3 linked regions of the Arabidopsis thaliana genome follow. The protein of the gene in region 3 interacts with the protein of the main gene of each other region in a pairwise test. Each region holds a gene or a part of one and is shown on either strand. Other genes may lie near its edges.

Region 1 (3,860 bases), on a different chromosome or scaffold from region 3:
ACGAAGAGTCTCCATTTGTTCATCCGTCATTACTCTACTACCATACCTACCGTTTAGGCTCTCTTGCTCCATCTCCTCTTTCACCACTTTGCCTTCTCCTCTCTCCTTTTTACCATATGAAGAAGACAATGTGGAAGTGAAGGTGTTATGTATTTTTCTTTTTGAGAAATCTTTAGTTATTTGTTACCGTTAACTTTAAACAATTTATGGAAAGATGTCAAACTAGGATCAATTGTCTGATTTTTTTTCTTTTTCAATTACTAGTTAATTGAGGTAATTTTGGGATTCAATTGGATAAATAATTGATATATATTCTAATTGTGTGGTCATGTAACCAATATCCGATTTTATATGATTTTTTGTGTGATAACAATAAATTTAAAAACAATGAAAAAAGCTATGGTCATGACTAGGATCGGTTATTATGGTCAATTGCTTCTACTCTTTAGTGTCATTTGAATTGAGATTTACCGGTCAAAATATCAACCGAGTTTAAGATGGCATCACTTTTCTTTCTGATGCTGAAAAAGATGTGGGCATATATATCAAGTTGAGGAACACAAAATTATAATAAAATTGAAGACTTGTTGTTAATGTCACACACAAACACACACAATTCTATTTTATGAAAACAGAGTAAAAGAAAACAGAATAGATTAGAGATCTTCTTCATCGAAGTCTATACGAATTTTAAGTCTCCATAAATTTCCCTATACTCAACAAATGCTCAATCCCTGAAACCACAAAAAAAAATGCAAACTCAAACCAAAAATAAAAAATAAACCTAACCAAATGTTTAAAAACTCAAATGATCTTTTTACCTAAGTCAGGACTTGGGAAGAGTATATGCTCATAAGACTCTAATCCCCCTGAATCTCCACAACTCCTCCTTTCCTCCGTTGTCACCGCCACATCGTCAGCCTGACCATTAGCTGTCGTCGTTTGAGGCTGCTTTCGTTTGGACCGAGCTCGCCGGTTTTGAAACCAATTGTAGACATTTGTCTCCGTGATCTGTCCATGTTCAGACAGCTCCGTCGCGATCTCTCTAATCCTCCGTCGATTCGGTGTTCCACTTCCTTCGTCGTAAATGCTCTCAAGTATCTGAAGCTGTGTTGAAGTCGGAGTCCACCGATGCCTAGTCGATATCCTATGAGAACTTGACGATGCCCCCATCGGATCAAAGTATCCGCCAACCATTGGCCTCACTCCTTTTTTACACTCAATCATTATAAAAAAATAAGTGACGTGACCCTTAAGTTTCTTCCATGTACAAAATATGTATTATCAAAACCACAAAGCACTAATAACTCAAGCTTCTTAAAAATCGGCCACGACATGATAACCCTCAAATCAGCTTACGTCTAGAGAAAATAAACATTAATAATATATTGAATTGTTCGATCTAAGCAAATCATAAACTATATTAACAAATATCTTTAGCAATGATAAATCGATATCTAAGCGGTAGGTAAACTGTCTTCGAATGTCTAAAACATTATGAAATTTGATTCAAAGTTATGCATCGAACACTGGGAAAAAAAAAGCCTTGGATTTCGTTAGTTGTATACCAAACGCAAACACAATTTTCACATTTTTACACTAAAGTCTCAATGGGTCAAGTGTATTAATGGAAACAACGTTTGCATCGCAAAAAACGCTGCGTTTAAACACTTTCGTCTTACACACTTCTTCTACCGTATACAAAGAAGCTCATCAAATGGTCTCTTGTAAAAAAATCAAATACATAGAAAAGTGATTGTTGTTAATCAGGAACAAAAACAGAGAGAAGTGTACCTGATGAGAGTGGATGGTAAGAAGAGAGGGAGTTGTGGAGGAGGACGAGTTGGTCACAAATAACGGCGTAAACGGCGATCTGCTTACGGAGAATCTCCATCTGCTCCTCAGTCATCACTCTCCCACTATACGCACCGTTTTGGATCTCTCTATCCATCTCCTCTATTTCTTTGCTTTTCTCCTTTTCCTTTTTTTTTTTTACCATATGAACAAGACAATGAGAAAGTGAATGATATATATATTCTTTTGTTTATGAATAAAGGGATCTTTAGTTTATTTGTTACCGTTAAATCAAACACTTTTTGGAAAGATGTCTTTGTTTAATGATCAATTGGACCAATTTAATTTTTACAGTTACCAGGTTTATTACATTGGTTACATATTGAAAACATTGGAGAACTATGGCCTTTCACTAGGATAGATTTTGGTCGACGGTATTCACAATTTTTTGTTAGAATTTCAACATTTTAATCGAGTTTTACGGGTCAAGATATCTACCATTTGAAATAGAAAAATGTGCTAATCCAAAATATGTATCTAAGAAGATCTTAATCCTATGTGTTGATGACATAATAAGACACCACACTAATATATAAAAACAACCTAATTAAAACCAGGTATTGTTGTTACATCCGTAGAGGAACACAAACTGTGTATCTTACTTTATGTATATAGTGGTTAGGTAAAGCCGGAAGCAAGGCTTAATCACAGCATTATATAAAATATTATCGTTGTGACTTATGACTAATGATTAAACTATTGATGGAAAAAGAAGAGCATGCTTTCTTTCTTTTTCTAAGTTGATTAAGAAGAAAATGTACGAATTTGACCAAAAAGGTTCTTTGATATAAAGATGTTGACTAAAAATTTATAACATAAGTGAGACTATTCTGCTGCTAATACGCAGATTTTCACTAAAATCTTCACTTTTGTCAAAAATGATCAAATTTTTTACTTATTTCTTAAATCAAACGAAGTAATACAATCCAAAGAGAAACTCTTAATTAAGCTGATGCAAACCATTTTTTTTTTTCAAAAGATGAAAAGAGAACCAAATGATCATGGCGTTGGTAATTTGGAAAATTCAAGTATAGCCTCAAAACAATTTTACCAACCTGTGTCTAAAGTCAAATAACTAAATAAAAAGTGAAAACATGGTTTACTCTTTGTGGAACACATTGATTAAGAGCGTGATTATGCAATAGGACTCACAACCCCAATATGATTTAAGTAAAAACATGGTTTACACTAATATTTTTTTCAGGGGTATAAATCCTCATATCAACTAGAAACAAAGAGTCTAAAGAGCATTAAAACGTAGAGGAATTAAAAACTAAATCATTCATTATATAGAGCTACAAATCTCTCATTTCACCATCTAAACATTCTACATTCACTTTTTCCATTACCCGTAGAATCAGTGGGAGATAGGTAATAGTTTACTAAAACGAAACATCAGTAAGAAAAAGAAAAAGAAAAAAAAAAAAAACCACTTTAACCACCCGAATTAACATTTTAAGAGAGGAGATAAAAACATCCGAGAGATTCCTTGCAGCCTTCTATATTACGCTACCACAACTTCAACTTCTTAATCATCGTCTTCCTCCTACATCACATGTATAACAGAGTTAATACAAAGCTTTACTGATTCATACTACAGATATTTAGATTGCAGAGGTGTAAAATAACTTACCTCTTCACTGCCATCCTCAGCATCATCCTCATCGTTAACCTCTGAAACTGACTTGTCAGATTCCTCATCTTCCTTAGGGCCTTCCTCCTGAAACCACAACACACCACCATTATTCAAGCACCCCCATTAACCAAATTACCAGTTGCTTGTATCATCATTGTTTAGAATAAACATAACTCAAACTTCAATATATAGTAAACAAATTAAGAAAGCCTTGAATAGTGTGACTACTGACTAGTATAAAGAGAGTAGACAACTCAATAACGTGGTTAATATAAACATAACATAGCCTTCTATATGCAAATAAACAATTACCAATTTCTTGTTGTAGGCTTTCATGTTCTTCTCATACTCAACCTTGCGCTTGTCAGCC
Region 2 (3,555 bases), on a different chromosome or scaffold from region 3:
AGTGTCAAGTGCAGTAGAAGATTTGGTGGTGGAACAGTGCAAGCACAACTGTAAACATGATATCCACAACAAGAAGAAAGAGTGTGAAGATAAGTGCAATGAACTGTTGATGATGGAGATAGAGAAAGAGACAAGTGGACGACAAGAAGAAGAACACAATCCCTTCTGTGAGGCATTTTGCAACCCCTTTGAAGGACTCTTTCAACATTGCATGGCCGTTTGCCCTCGCACCAAGTCCAAACCAGAGATGATGGTCATAGGAGGAGAAGGTGTTGCTAATGAGGGTTTGCAGACAAAATGCAACAGAAAATGCCTGTCTTACACCGAACCGGAGGCCTATAAAAAATGCATATCCGGATGCTTCATGTCCAACGAGGAAGTCTGTGAGACATCGTGCAGTATTCTTCAAGAGGAACCGCTCACTATAAGGTGCATGAGGATTTGCCATGAGAGAATTCCCGGAGTTGTAGCCTCTACTTAATGTTTTACGAGGGGACTTGTAAGGAATAAGTGTGTTTCTTTGGTGTAAGAATCCAAATTAAAAGAATATTTAACATTTGAGTTCCGGTTAAAGAAGAGACAAAAGATCATATTTTTTTGCTTAGAGATGTTAATATCATAACAGTTTTAGAGAACATCAAATCTATAAAGACTCAAAACGCATTGCTTTAGGGAGCAGAAAGAAGGTAGAAGAGAACATATTAGTTATGGCTCTGCTTGACACTGCTCTTCTCTGAAGTAGTGGTAGTAGTGCTTGGAAAAGGAGAGCCAAGCTTCGGATCAGGGGGAACAGTATCTTCCATGACCTTGGGGACAGTGAAATTGAAGTCTCCAAGTGGTGCGTTCCTGAATTCCGGATTGGCTTCAACGAAGGCAGCGATTTCATTGCGACTCCTGAGCTTCTTCCCGGTAGGAGTAAAGTAGTAGGTATCCATCTTAGAGTAATCTTTTCTGAGAACTAAGCTTCTCTTGAAACCTTTAGGCGTTTTGGGGAGACCAGGCTTGTCAATGACCCAAGTCCGAGAAGAATCGTAGTCAATATCAGCAGGCTCTTCACAAGACATGCCCTGTTTCTTCTGACAGTTAAAAGGATCCTCGAGCATTTTACTTCTGATATCTTCATATTCCTCCTGGCTATCAATCACCCTCCACTTGTGACAGTTATCGCACTGTGCAGCATAGGTATCAATCAACCTCCCAGGAGCAACATCTTTCTGCCATTAAGTCTCAGTGAAACAACCCCACACAAGACTTGTGAGCGTAGAAGAAATATATAATGTAAGGCAAGAATAAGGAGCGACACTACTCCAGCAAGCGTTAAAGAAAAGAACCAAGGCTTTCTTAGAGCAATAACTGAAAGCAACGACACATCACGAGACTGACTCAAAGTTTGCAAGACCAAAGATTTCAAAGTTAACTACCAACAATTTACTTCCAAGCACCAAAAAATCGTGAACCCCAAAACTGATAACCTAGAATTCTATGCCTTGTATAACTTCCTCCATCAATAGTAACTACTAATACGGGATCTGAGATCTCCAAAGACAGTAAGAACACGAAAAACGCATGCACTTTGACCGGAATTATAAGAAGGTTCGCATCTAACACAATAAAGAGAAGAAAAACGCAAAGAACGGAACCTAGAAAATGGAAAGCGAAATATATGTAAGTCATTGTGGGACTACCTTGGCTTTTGGTTTCGCTGGTTTTCCGATCTCCTCCTCTTCCTTCATCTCACTTACTTCCCCAGATTCTTTTTTAGTAAACTTTTTCTCCAAATCTTTGTGTCCCCCAAAAGTAAAACTCTCTCAAATAAGTCTTCCTGCGAACAGTGTGATAACCGCACAGCCTGTGCTTTAATGTATCACTGTGACGGACAAATCATAAATTAACACGTCGGCTTGAGCGAATTATTTGGGCTTCAGGCCCAGGTTTGTTTTGCAACAAAATATTATTATGGGCCTAATATTCATAAGTAAAGCCCATAATTCCCTTTTCTTATCTTGTTTCTAACGGATCATCGGACTACAATGTCGTTTTTTCCCCCCGGAAAATTAGCTGAAAATATCAAAATTCTAAGAGGAAGATCAGTGATTCTGTTTATCTTCATTATCATCTTCTACTACGTCGTTTTGTTGACTGATTCTCACTGTTCCGATTCTTAGTCCTTCTCTCCCACGAACACTAACGATCTCCGGTGAATCTACTGCCACGCTGGCAATCTCTAACCGTCCTTCGCTTCTCACTCTCCTGTGATGAAATCTCGGCCGTCCGTTACAATCCAGTGTCGTCAAAAATGGTGGCAGATCTCGCTTCCTCGTCACGCTTCTTCCTCTCCGCGGCGACGGCGCCTTTGATCTCGACTCCGTCAGCAGCGGCGGTCCATACGGTCCCCACGGCGATATCTTCCCTCCTAGATAGAAACTGTAACTGTTATTTTTCGAAGAACACGAGAAATATTCGTCAAGAATAACTCCACACACACCTCTATGTTCCCTGCACTCGTCGTCGGGATTCTCGTGGTCTGATTTTATCTCTAGAGATCTGCTCACGGATAAGCTTTGAAGAGGTTCGCCGCCGGAATCAACAGGAGTGCTCCAGCGCCGTCGATGGGAATGCGTAGGCGTGTCTTCCTCTGCCATTGACGACGTGCGGTGTTCTTCATCTATATCTCCGGTGAGAATCGTAGAGGATGACGTCATGATTAACATAACCGCTCGTCCTTCCCTGTTCTCTACTCTCTACGATCGCAACTCTGCATCATTTTTTGGGCCTTAAACGAGATTTAATGATTTATAGTATTTGGTGGGGCCTCTGCGAGAGGTTTTGCCAGCGTGGCAAACAGATCAGGATTTACTCATTTAACGGGCTTTTGTAAACCATGACACCTTGTAAGTAAATTGGTCCGCATGGTCAAATTAAACCTTGTCTTGGAAAAATCTTTTCACCTGTAAAATATTAATCTCACCGTCCTTTTTCTGGTGGCAGTAATTGTGAACAAAATCTTAAATCATATTAACTTTAATTTTTGGGAAATACGCATGCAGCACATCGAATGATTTTTAAAAATATTACATGAATTTTTCTACGAAAATTTTGAAACTAGTTTCTAAACATTACTACAGTATTAACTAATGGCTGCAATTGAGAGGGTGAAAACATTGAATTGGGTCATTCCCCATCAGTTTTAAAAAACTATAAAGTTAATTGGGTCGTAATTGCATAAAACGTTATTTCTTTCCCGGAAATAATACTCAGTTCATTAATTTGATGGGCTTATAGAACGATATTCTAAAGCCCATTATACGGGCCACAAGAATCTTTTGAGACACTCGACAAATGGCAATCGCTAAAAGCAAACCCAAAATGTTTTAACGATATGTGATAACTCCTGAGCCATGCATGCTAATTTTGCTATGTCATTTTGTAAGAAAACACGTTACTACAAGTTGTCTTTGTTTAGACCGTTAAACGGCATGCAGTCTATTATTCTGGACTAACTCCATGTGAATGAAAACATACATATGATGACGAGTTGATGATGAATGCGAAAGT
Region 3 (8,305 bases):
TTCGTTTGAAGCCGAAGATGAAGTCTAATAAGTATGGATCTTTCTTTGATTTTCTTCTTCTTAGACCTGATAACTTCTCTAAAGAACTTGTTGGAGATACTCGAAGAGAACAACGGCCTGTGAAGAGAGCTAAATGGAGTCAAGAAGCTGATTTGCAGAAATTGGATGTGTTTGAGAAGCTTGAGTCTAAGTTTAAGACTCAAGGCAATGAAGAGAAAGAAGACGGAGAAGATGATGAACAAGTTGTGGAATCAGAAGGAGAAGAATCAGATAACGGAGATTATGATCAGAATCAAGACTTTGATGATGATGAAGACGATTATAATCATGAGGAGGATGGTGGATTTGAAGAGGTGTATTAAGCTGCTTCTCCTTTTCCCAAAAGAATCAAGTTTTCCAGTCAAGAGAAGACTATTTGGTGTAATTTCTCAATAAGCATATACCATCTTGAAATTTTACACCATAAAAGTTAGTAGCACTATTATGGGTGCAGATGGTTGCATATGAATGATGATCTTTTTAGTTGTACCAATTTTTAGAAATTGTAGTTGGTGAAGGTTTCGTGGACAAATCTTATTGTTTGTAGAAAAACATTTTCTGATAACATAACTTTACTTGAACACTCCTTTTCTTCTAGATAGATCTTATTCGACTCATAATTGGTGTAAGATTCTTCTAATTTTAGCAAGATATCATTGACGTGGTAGTTACCATCAATAAGTAAAGATCATTGACAATTACGTGGAGCCAATAGCTACTGCTAAAAAAGAATGTTTGTTATAGATCTTAATATATTAATAAGAACAGTAACATAATGTGATGGAACATATAATTGGTGTCAAGACATAAAAGATGATTTCCAACAAACATATTAAGCTTTTACACGTGTACTTTGGGTAAGGAACTGTGACAAAATACGATGAGGCTAATTATATGGATACTTTGTTGATATGAATCTAGAAACTATTCATAGCCTTTTTATAATGCATTGTAACAAATTAGTACTTTAGTCTCGTAGTAACCAATTATTGGAAATTTAAACATTACGTCTCGCAAAAGAGTATCTTTTAATTATGACGAATTCGTTTCTGTTAAAATCAGGGTTTTTCATTCATGAGTTATCAAATTAAAATCTTTTCGAAGATTTCTAATACGAAAGTACAAATACTTTTTTTTTTTAATAAAAAATTTAAGTACAAATACCTGAGAGATTAGATGTTTTGAAAAGAAAAAAAAAATTCACAAGTTTTATTGTGGTTTGTATCCCTATCATTTAGCATATAAAAAGGTTCAATATCTGCATATATATGGTAGAATTGTATATGTTGTAAAATTTAATTTGTCTCCCTGTGTTAACTTGCCCCACAACACGTTGCAAAGTGTTATTCATATGATCTGGTTTTAAATGAATTGTTATAATTTCTTCAATCAATTTTGGTTTCAGTAAATGGAAAAAAAAAACAAGAAATCGAATTAATATTGATTTAGTTACCAATATATATTTGATAAATTTTCAAAGAATTTAAGAAATCTGTATTGTGTTCAATTTTTTGGTTCCGTTTCTGGGTAGGTCGGCCCCGGGTCTTTCTTTTCCTGTTGTTCTGTTCCTGCCACGAGAATGTCAAATAACTTTGAAGACAGAAGTTATCCTATCGATGCTGTATTCATGCCTGTTGAAAATGCCACCTAAGAAAGGACGGAACTGTCGAGTAAGGATTGGCCGGGCAGAGGCCTTTGGTGTCCACTCCAGTCAAGAATTGGAGCCTCCAGGTATTAGCTGTTAGCCGTCGGACTCATTTAAAGGATTTAGTTTGGTTTCTACGAGCTTCTTATGATTGCTAATAATAAGTAAACAAGTTAAATAAACCATTCCAGGATAATGAGAATCTGTCAATCAGATACACAAAGTCAGTGATATCTCGCAAGCAAATCATCTCAAAACTCGTGCACTTCTTTATACGTGTCATAACAAGGAATATTTTTCTTTTTTTGATAAGATTTGGAACGTGAGAAAAACCATGTAGCCGGCAGTTTAAAAAATATTTTCGTTATAAGCAACCTAAAAATGATGATTGGATAATAGAAGGGACTATATAATATACAGTTGAGGAAGATCTGGATCTCGTTACCTACCGAGACCATTTTAACACCGTCGATCATTTTAAATTTGAGAAACTCGAAAGGTCAATTGATAATGTGGCAAAACAGGAGGCAACACAAACGATGACTCATCAGGCTCATCTCTGTGGCCAAATAATTTGACCAATATAATAGCCCGACAGCTAAGAGAGTCAGATTTGTCAGTAATAATCGGACCAATCAAATTTAAAAAATCAATTATTGTTGAAGTTTTGTTGGTTGATACGCAAAACCCTATGCTATATATATACATGTGTAGGGCAAGTTGAGTAAAACAGATCGATCAAGAAAGCAAAATACAAAGCTCAAAACACATTTCTAGAACAAAATCAAAACAAAAGCATATTATATAAAAAAAAATGTCGAATATGCTCGTCAAGAATCAACTAAGATCTATAAGCTTACCTTCAAGCTCGCATCCAAGCACGACCGGTATCGAGGAATCTCTTAACAAGGTCAAAACGATTAACACCATGACGGGTTCGTCCGAATCAGTCTTGATGGGCTTGGAGGGTTTGGAGGAGCTCTACAATTGTACGGAAGATTTTCTGAAAATGGGCTCAACGCAACGGGTTATGTCATCATCTGATGGATCCGAGTTTATGGAGGAGATGCTTGACGGTTCGTTGAGGCTAATGGATATATGCAGTGTCTCGAGGGATCTCATGGTGGAGACTCAAGAGCATGTTCGTGGTGTTCAATCATGTGTCAGGAGAAAGAAAGTAGTCGGAGGAGAAGACCAACTCGATGTCGCCGTCGCGGGGTATGTCGGATTTAGAAAGAACATGAGAAAAGAAGCTAAGAGGCTTCTTGGATCTTTGAAGAACATTGATGGAGGTTTAAGTTCATCATCATCAGTAAATAATGGTGAGCAAGAAGAACATCTTGTGGTGGTTGTAGACGCCATGAGACAAGTAGTTTCCGTTAGCGTCGCGGTGTTGAGGTCGTTTTTGGAATTCTTATCCGGACGACGACAAAGTAACATTAAGAGCAAGCTGGCTTCGGTACTAAAGAAAAAGAAGGTTCACCATGTTGAGGAGACCAAGAACGAGTTGGAGAATTTGGATCTCGAGATATTCTGTTCTCGTAATGATCTACAAAAGAAGCTTGAGGAAGTTGAGATGAGCATTGATGGATTCGAGAAGAAACTAGAAGGACTATTTCGAAGGTTGATAAGAACACGAGCCTCGCTTCTCAACATAATATCTCATTAGGTTTTAAAGTATTCATGTAATGTAACCTTCAAAGGCATTCGACTTTAGAGAATCTGCCGGAGGGATACATCATAGACGCATGGATAAGATATTGTACACTAATTAAACATAATTTTGTAGAGATTAATTTGTAAAAATATACACAATAATGCATTGATATATACACAAGGCAGACTTTAATACATGAACAAATGAAAGTTTAAAATACATATAGCATATTTATAAATTTACAATTAAAATCTTACAGAAAGAAAAACAAAAGAACTAGACTCTTAATCCAAAAAAATCATGATATTCATAAGAAGAGGTGGGAATTCGGACCATGGGTCACATGTGTACCGGTTTAGTTATTTTCCGGTTCATACCAACTGAAGAAACCAAGTTATAAGCGTAAGTTCTGGCAGGGGCAATTTCGTCAAAACGAGATTTTGATTGGATCCTACGGACGCAACCTTTTAAAGAAAAGGCGCGAGAGAGATCTGAGCGAACACGTTAGACACACATAAAAAAATAACGGTCATAAACCGCCGTGTGGTCATAGAAACTATATAAAGACCACTTCGATTGAAATTGAAGACGTGGTATTCTAAATCTCTGCAAAGAAGAAATTATGAGTAATCCCGAGAAGTCTAAAATTGCTGAGGAAGAGAATGAGAATTTTGACGAGAGTGATTATCTTTGGAGCGATGAAGAAGGAGACATACGTGAAATTGTTCTTGGCCTTCCTGCACTAAGACTTAGTGAGAGTCTCAATGTGGATGAAAGCATCCGTAACGAAGCCGTTTCCGCGGCGAAGTTGATCGTGGCAGCCGCCAAGGAAGCCACAGGGAATACAGAACAAAGTGCTAGTGGTACCGGTGACGTTAGTGGAACTCCAGAAATCATAAAAGTTGGGAAACCCCGTGTATTATTGGAAGCGCTGGCCGAAGCATCTGGTTGTACCCCTATTGGGGTGACCACTACTGAAGGAGAGGTAGTCAAGAAACCCCGTAAGAAAGGTTCTACTCAGTTGACACATCTGCCGCAAGGCCCTCCTATGTGTAATGTTTGTGGGAAGGGCTTTGCTTCTTGGAAGGCTGTTTTTGGACATCTAAGGCAGCATAAGGATCGAGGGTATCTAGGTTTTCTTCCTCCGCCAACATTCAATGCTGCTGAGGAAGGATTTGGTGGAGTTGCTACTGCTTCAACCGGTGGTGCAGTAGCCACTGCTATTTCCGTTGGTGAAGTCCCTACTGCTTCTTCCGCTGGTGGACTCGCTACGGCTTCTTCCGATGGTGAAGGGCTTGTTTCAAGTATCGGAAGGGCGAGGATTGACTTAAATGCCGATCCAGTCGAGGAGGAAGACAAGGTAATTGGAGTTGGATCTAAGCGAAAATTTGATCTGAATAGGTCCCCCCCACCAGACGGTGATGAAGAGAACGATGATAAAGTCGAGTGATAGTTATTTTCTTGTTACATGCAAATCATTTTCCTTAGTTACATTTTTTCTTCGGTTTGTCGCTGTGAAATGAATATACTAACTATGATATTGTTACTTCTTAATCTATGTTATTTGAAAAGATAACTTTTTTCCAAATTGCAACAATAAATGCGCGAATGAAATAATATATTCTCTACTATTGATATGTTGAAACACTATGTAAACTTATACCTTGAGTGGGAAAATGTGAAAAGCGAATTTATATAATCCATATCCCATTTGCATAAAAAAATAATTTTTAATCCTATTTTTTAAATTATTTAAATATATTTCACTTATGTCGAAAATATACAAAATGTAAATGAAAAAACAAAACCCCAAAAACATTTTTTGTTAATTACACTGCATTATCGCAACAGTGAAAAAAGGAGACAAGAAAATAGCACATTCAATAAATTTGCAAAACGTTGAGTCTGAATAAAACAGAATATGCCCAAATTTAGTTTATATGCCATAAGAAAAACGAAGTATTACAAATATTAGCGTTAATGATTGGTAATTAAATGGAAATGTCATTTGACCAATCAGAATATGTAAAATTGTTAAAAGTCTACTCCACGATTATCAAATCAAACCACCAGTGACAACTGACAAGCAAATCTAATCAAAATCAGTGCCCCTCTTGCACATGTCATAGTGCGAGACGTTATGCAGAAGGCAATGATGTAGTTTTTGTTATATGGAATATATCTTTTTATTCCTGAGGAACCGTAAGTAGCAAACTACCTAATATGGTCGGAGAAAGATCCGGATCTCATAACCTACCAAAACGACTTCAAGAACGCGAAAGGTCAATTGATAATGTGGCGAATCTGTAGGCAACAGAGACTATGACTCATCAAGCTTTCTCAATTTGACCAATATAATAATCTGACAGGTCAGAGAGCCACAGATTTGTCAGTAATAATCGGACCAATGAAATTTAAAACATCAATTATTGCTGAGGTTTTGTTGGTTGATGACGTTTCAAAAACCATTGCTATATATATAGGCATGTGTAGGGCAAGTTGAATAAAACAGATCGATCAAAGAAGAAAGAACACAAAAACCCTTAAAACACCTTATATCAAAACACAAAAGATGGCGAATATGATCATTAAGAAACAGTTAAGATCTATAAGTTTACCTTCTAGATCACAACCAAGCACAAGTGGGCTCGAAGAATCTCTTAATAAGATTAAAACAATTAACACCACGACGGGTTCATCCGAGTCGATCTTGATGGGCTTGGCTGGTTTGGAGGAGCTCTACATTTTTCTGGAGGAGTTTCTGAAAATGGGTTCAAAGCAACGGGTTATGTCCTCTGGTGGGTCGGAATTCATGGAGGAAATGCTTGATGGTTCGTTGAGGCTGATGGATATCTGCAGCGTCTCAAGGGATCTAATGGTGGAGACTCACGAGCATGTTCGTGGCGTTCAGTCATATGTTAGAAGAAAGAAAGTATCTGGTGGAGGAGGAGGAGATAAAATCGATGTCGCTGTCTCCGACTATGTCGGATTTAGGAAGAACATGAGAAAAGAAGCCAAGAAGCTTCTAGGATCCTTGAAGAAAGTCGATGGAGGGACTCGTTCATGTGATAATGATCATGAAGATGAACAACTTGTGGCGGTTATAGATAGGGTGAGACGAGTGGTATCGGTAAGTGTCGTCGTATTGAAGTCGTTCTTGGAATTATTGTCCAGACGAAAAAGTAACATAAAGAGCAAGTTGGCGTCGGTACTAAAGATGAAGAAGGATAACCATGCGCCAGCCAAGAACGTGTTGGAGACATTAGATTCCGCGATTTTCGGAGATTTTTTATCTCATGATGATCTTCAAAATGAGCTTGAAGAGGTTGAGATGTGCATTGGTGGGTTCGAGAGAAATCTAGAAGGGTTGTTTCGAAGGTTGATAAGAACACGAGCCTCGATTCTCAACATAATCTCCCATTAGGAAGAAGTTAATATATGCAATGTAACCTTCGTGAGCATTCGGTTTTAGAGAATTTGCCGGAGGGTTGCATTATATAGAATAATAGAAAAGCATATAAAATATTTTGTACACTAATTACAAACTGTGTGAAATAGAATCAACATTGCAGTTATATACCCATAAATCTTATGAAACCATCTACGACTCATAATTTAAAATGACAAAATTAGTCAGAAAGTTTCATAAACTCGAATGGATGACTTGAAACTTATACATATCTTGATTTATTATGTAAAAGGAGATCGGAGAGTTGACTTCTCAGTGTAAACTCACTGACCTAACGTGTATACAATTTCTAGACAGGAAAAAGAAAAAGAACGTGTATACAAGTATCGTTGCTGAATTTTATGCATGCTATAGTATTCGAATATCAAATCATGAACGTCAAAGATGCTGATATAGTAGCTAACCATATTTATTAAAACTGTAAATATTTGTTAAAATGTAGATTTTCTTTTCCATAGTTCACAAAAAAAAAAAAAAAAAAAAAAAAAAAAAAAAATCCATTTGTAAAGAAATTTCACTTTAAATATAAGATGGATTTTTTAAAAAAGATCTAGAAAATCTAGCGAAATAGATTTTTTTTTAATTGGTTTAATTAAGACGCTCATTTTATTCACACATGTCGATCACAGTTGTATGAAATTTGTTTGCTTGTTAATAATGGCATCTCCATTAATGGTATCTCCATTGTTTTTGATGTATCTTTTTTTTTCATATTACGTTGGGCCGAGTTTGCAATAGACATGAACCCAGTTATATGGTTCAATACCAAATATACATGTACCCAAGATCATGTAATTAACCAACATCTGAAACCGTTTTAACCCAACCCCTCATCCAATTGCACTATTAATATCTAAACCGAGATTTTACGAAAATCCTTTACAACGGCTACACTTTCGAATATTTTGACCGAAGGTATATTTAATATTTCCATCAAAATAAGTTGTAGATTTTAAATCAGTAAATGAATAGTTACTAAAATTTGAATTAGTCACTTCCACAAGTTAACATTTTGAAACTGGTAAAAAGTCACTCATTTTCTCTCGTCAACGATTGTATCAAAAGTGCCTTTACTTTTGGTCTCGATTGACACTTTATTTTCAACGATAATCCTTAAAGCGAAAAGATCCCAAACTCGAACCAAAAGGTAATCTAAACCTGATAAATGGAAAATCTGATATGGACACTCCTAAATTCATGGTAACATAATTGCTGACGTGTGACGGTGTTATTCAAGGGAGGCATCGATCGATCGTCTCTTGCGTGGGACCACATCATCCGTGCATACATTACATATCTCATATTTTTTTACATAAACAATGTAACAAAAAATCTTCCAAAGATCTTGAAATTCAATTCAATCGAGGTACCCACCAAAAAAATAAAGCATTGTATTTGTAACCTTCAAAAGAAACAAAATCCAACGAGACTAAAATCAATTAAATATTAAAGAAATGTAAATGGACGGTGGCTTTGGTGCATGAAAAGAGGTGTG

Evidence for each region.
Region 1: the proteins of DAZ3 (region 3) and WOX14 interact in a two-hybrid assay, tested with the Arabidopsis thaliana proteins (one large-scale study listed by BioGRID).
Region 2: the proteins of DAZ3 (region 3) and MBD4 interact in a two-hybrid assay, tested with the Arabidopsis thaliana proteins (one large-scale study listed by BioGRID).

What each region holds. Positions count from the first base shown.
Region 1 is NC_003070.9:7,180,697-7,184,556, reverse strand, and holds WOX14 (WUSCHEL related homeobox 14), read right to left. Parts: upstream 2,000-3,860; coding exon 1,795-1,999; exon of another isoform or gene 1,228-1,794; coding exon of another isoform or gene 1,209-1,227; coding exon 822-1,208; coding exon of another isoform or gene 805-821; exon of another isoform or gene 735-804; coding exon 691-734; 3' UTR 501-690; downstream 1-500. Other genes in the region: WOX10 (WUSCHEL related homeobox 10), read right to left, coding at 1-72; HMGB3 (high mobility group B3), read right to left, coding at 3,364-3,400, 3,488-3,567, 3,797-3,860. UniProt on the Arabidopsis thaliana protein: Acts redundantly with WOX4 downstream of the TDR/PXY receptor kinase to regulate procambial cell proliferation and differentiation in vascular tissue, independently of any role in vascular. Involved in the regulation of gibberellin (GA) biosynthesis pathway.
Region 2 is NC_003074.8:23,293,572-23,297,126, reverse strand, and holds MBD4 (methyl-CPG-binding domain 4), read right to left. Parts: upstream 1,843-3,555; 5' UTR 1,734-1,842; coding exon 1,686-1,733; intron 1,215-1,685; coding exon 702-1,214; 3' UTR 501-701; downstream 1-500. Other genes in the region: AT3G63040 (uncharacterized protein), read left to right, coding at 1-481; AT3G63020 (hypothetical protein (DUF3049)), read right to left, coding at 2,088-2,702. UniProt on the Arabidopsis thaliana protein: Transcriptional regulator that binds CpG, CpNpN and CpNpG (N is A, T, or C) islands in promoters regardless the DNA methylation status. Plays probably a role in gene silencing.
Region 3 is NC_003075.7:16,919,388-16,927,692, forward strand, and holds DAZ3 (zinc finger (C2H2 type) family protein), read left to right. Parts: upstream 1-3,931; 5' UTR 3,932-3,963; coding exon 3,964-4,791; 3' UTR 4,792-4,947; downstream 4,948-8,305. Other genes in the region: AT4G35685 (DNA-directed RNA polymerase III subunit), read left to right, coding at 65-362; AT4G35690 (hypothetical protein (DUF241)), read left to right, coding at 2,499-3,353; AT4G35710 (DUF241 domain protein, putative (DUF241)), read left to right, coding at 5,914-6,765.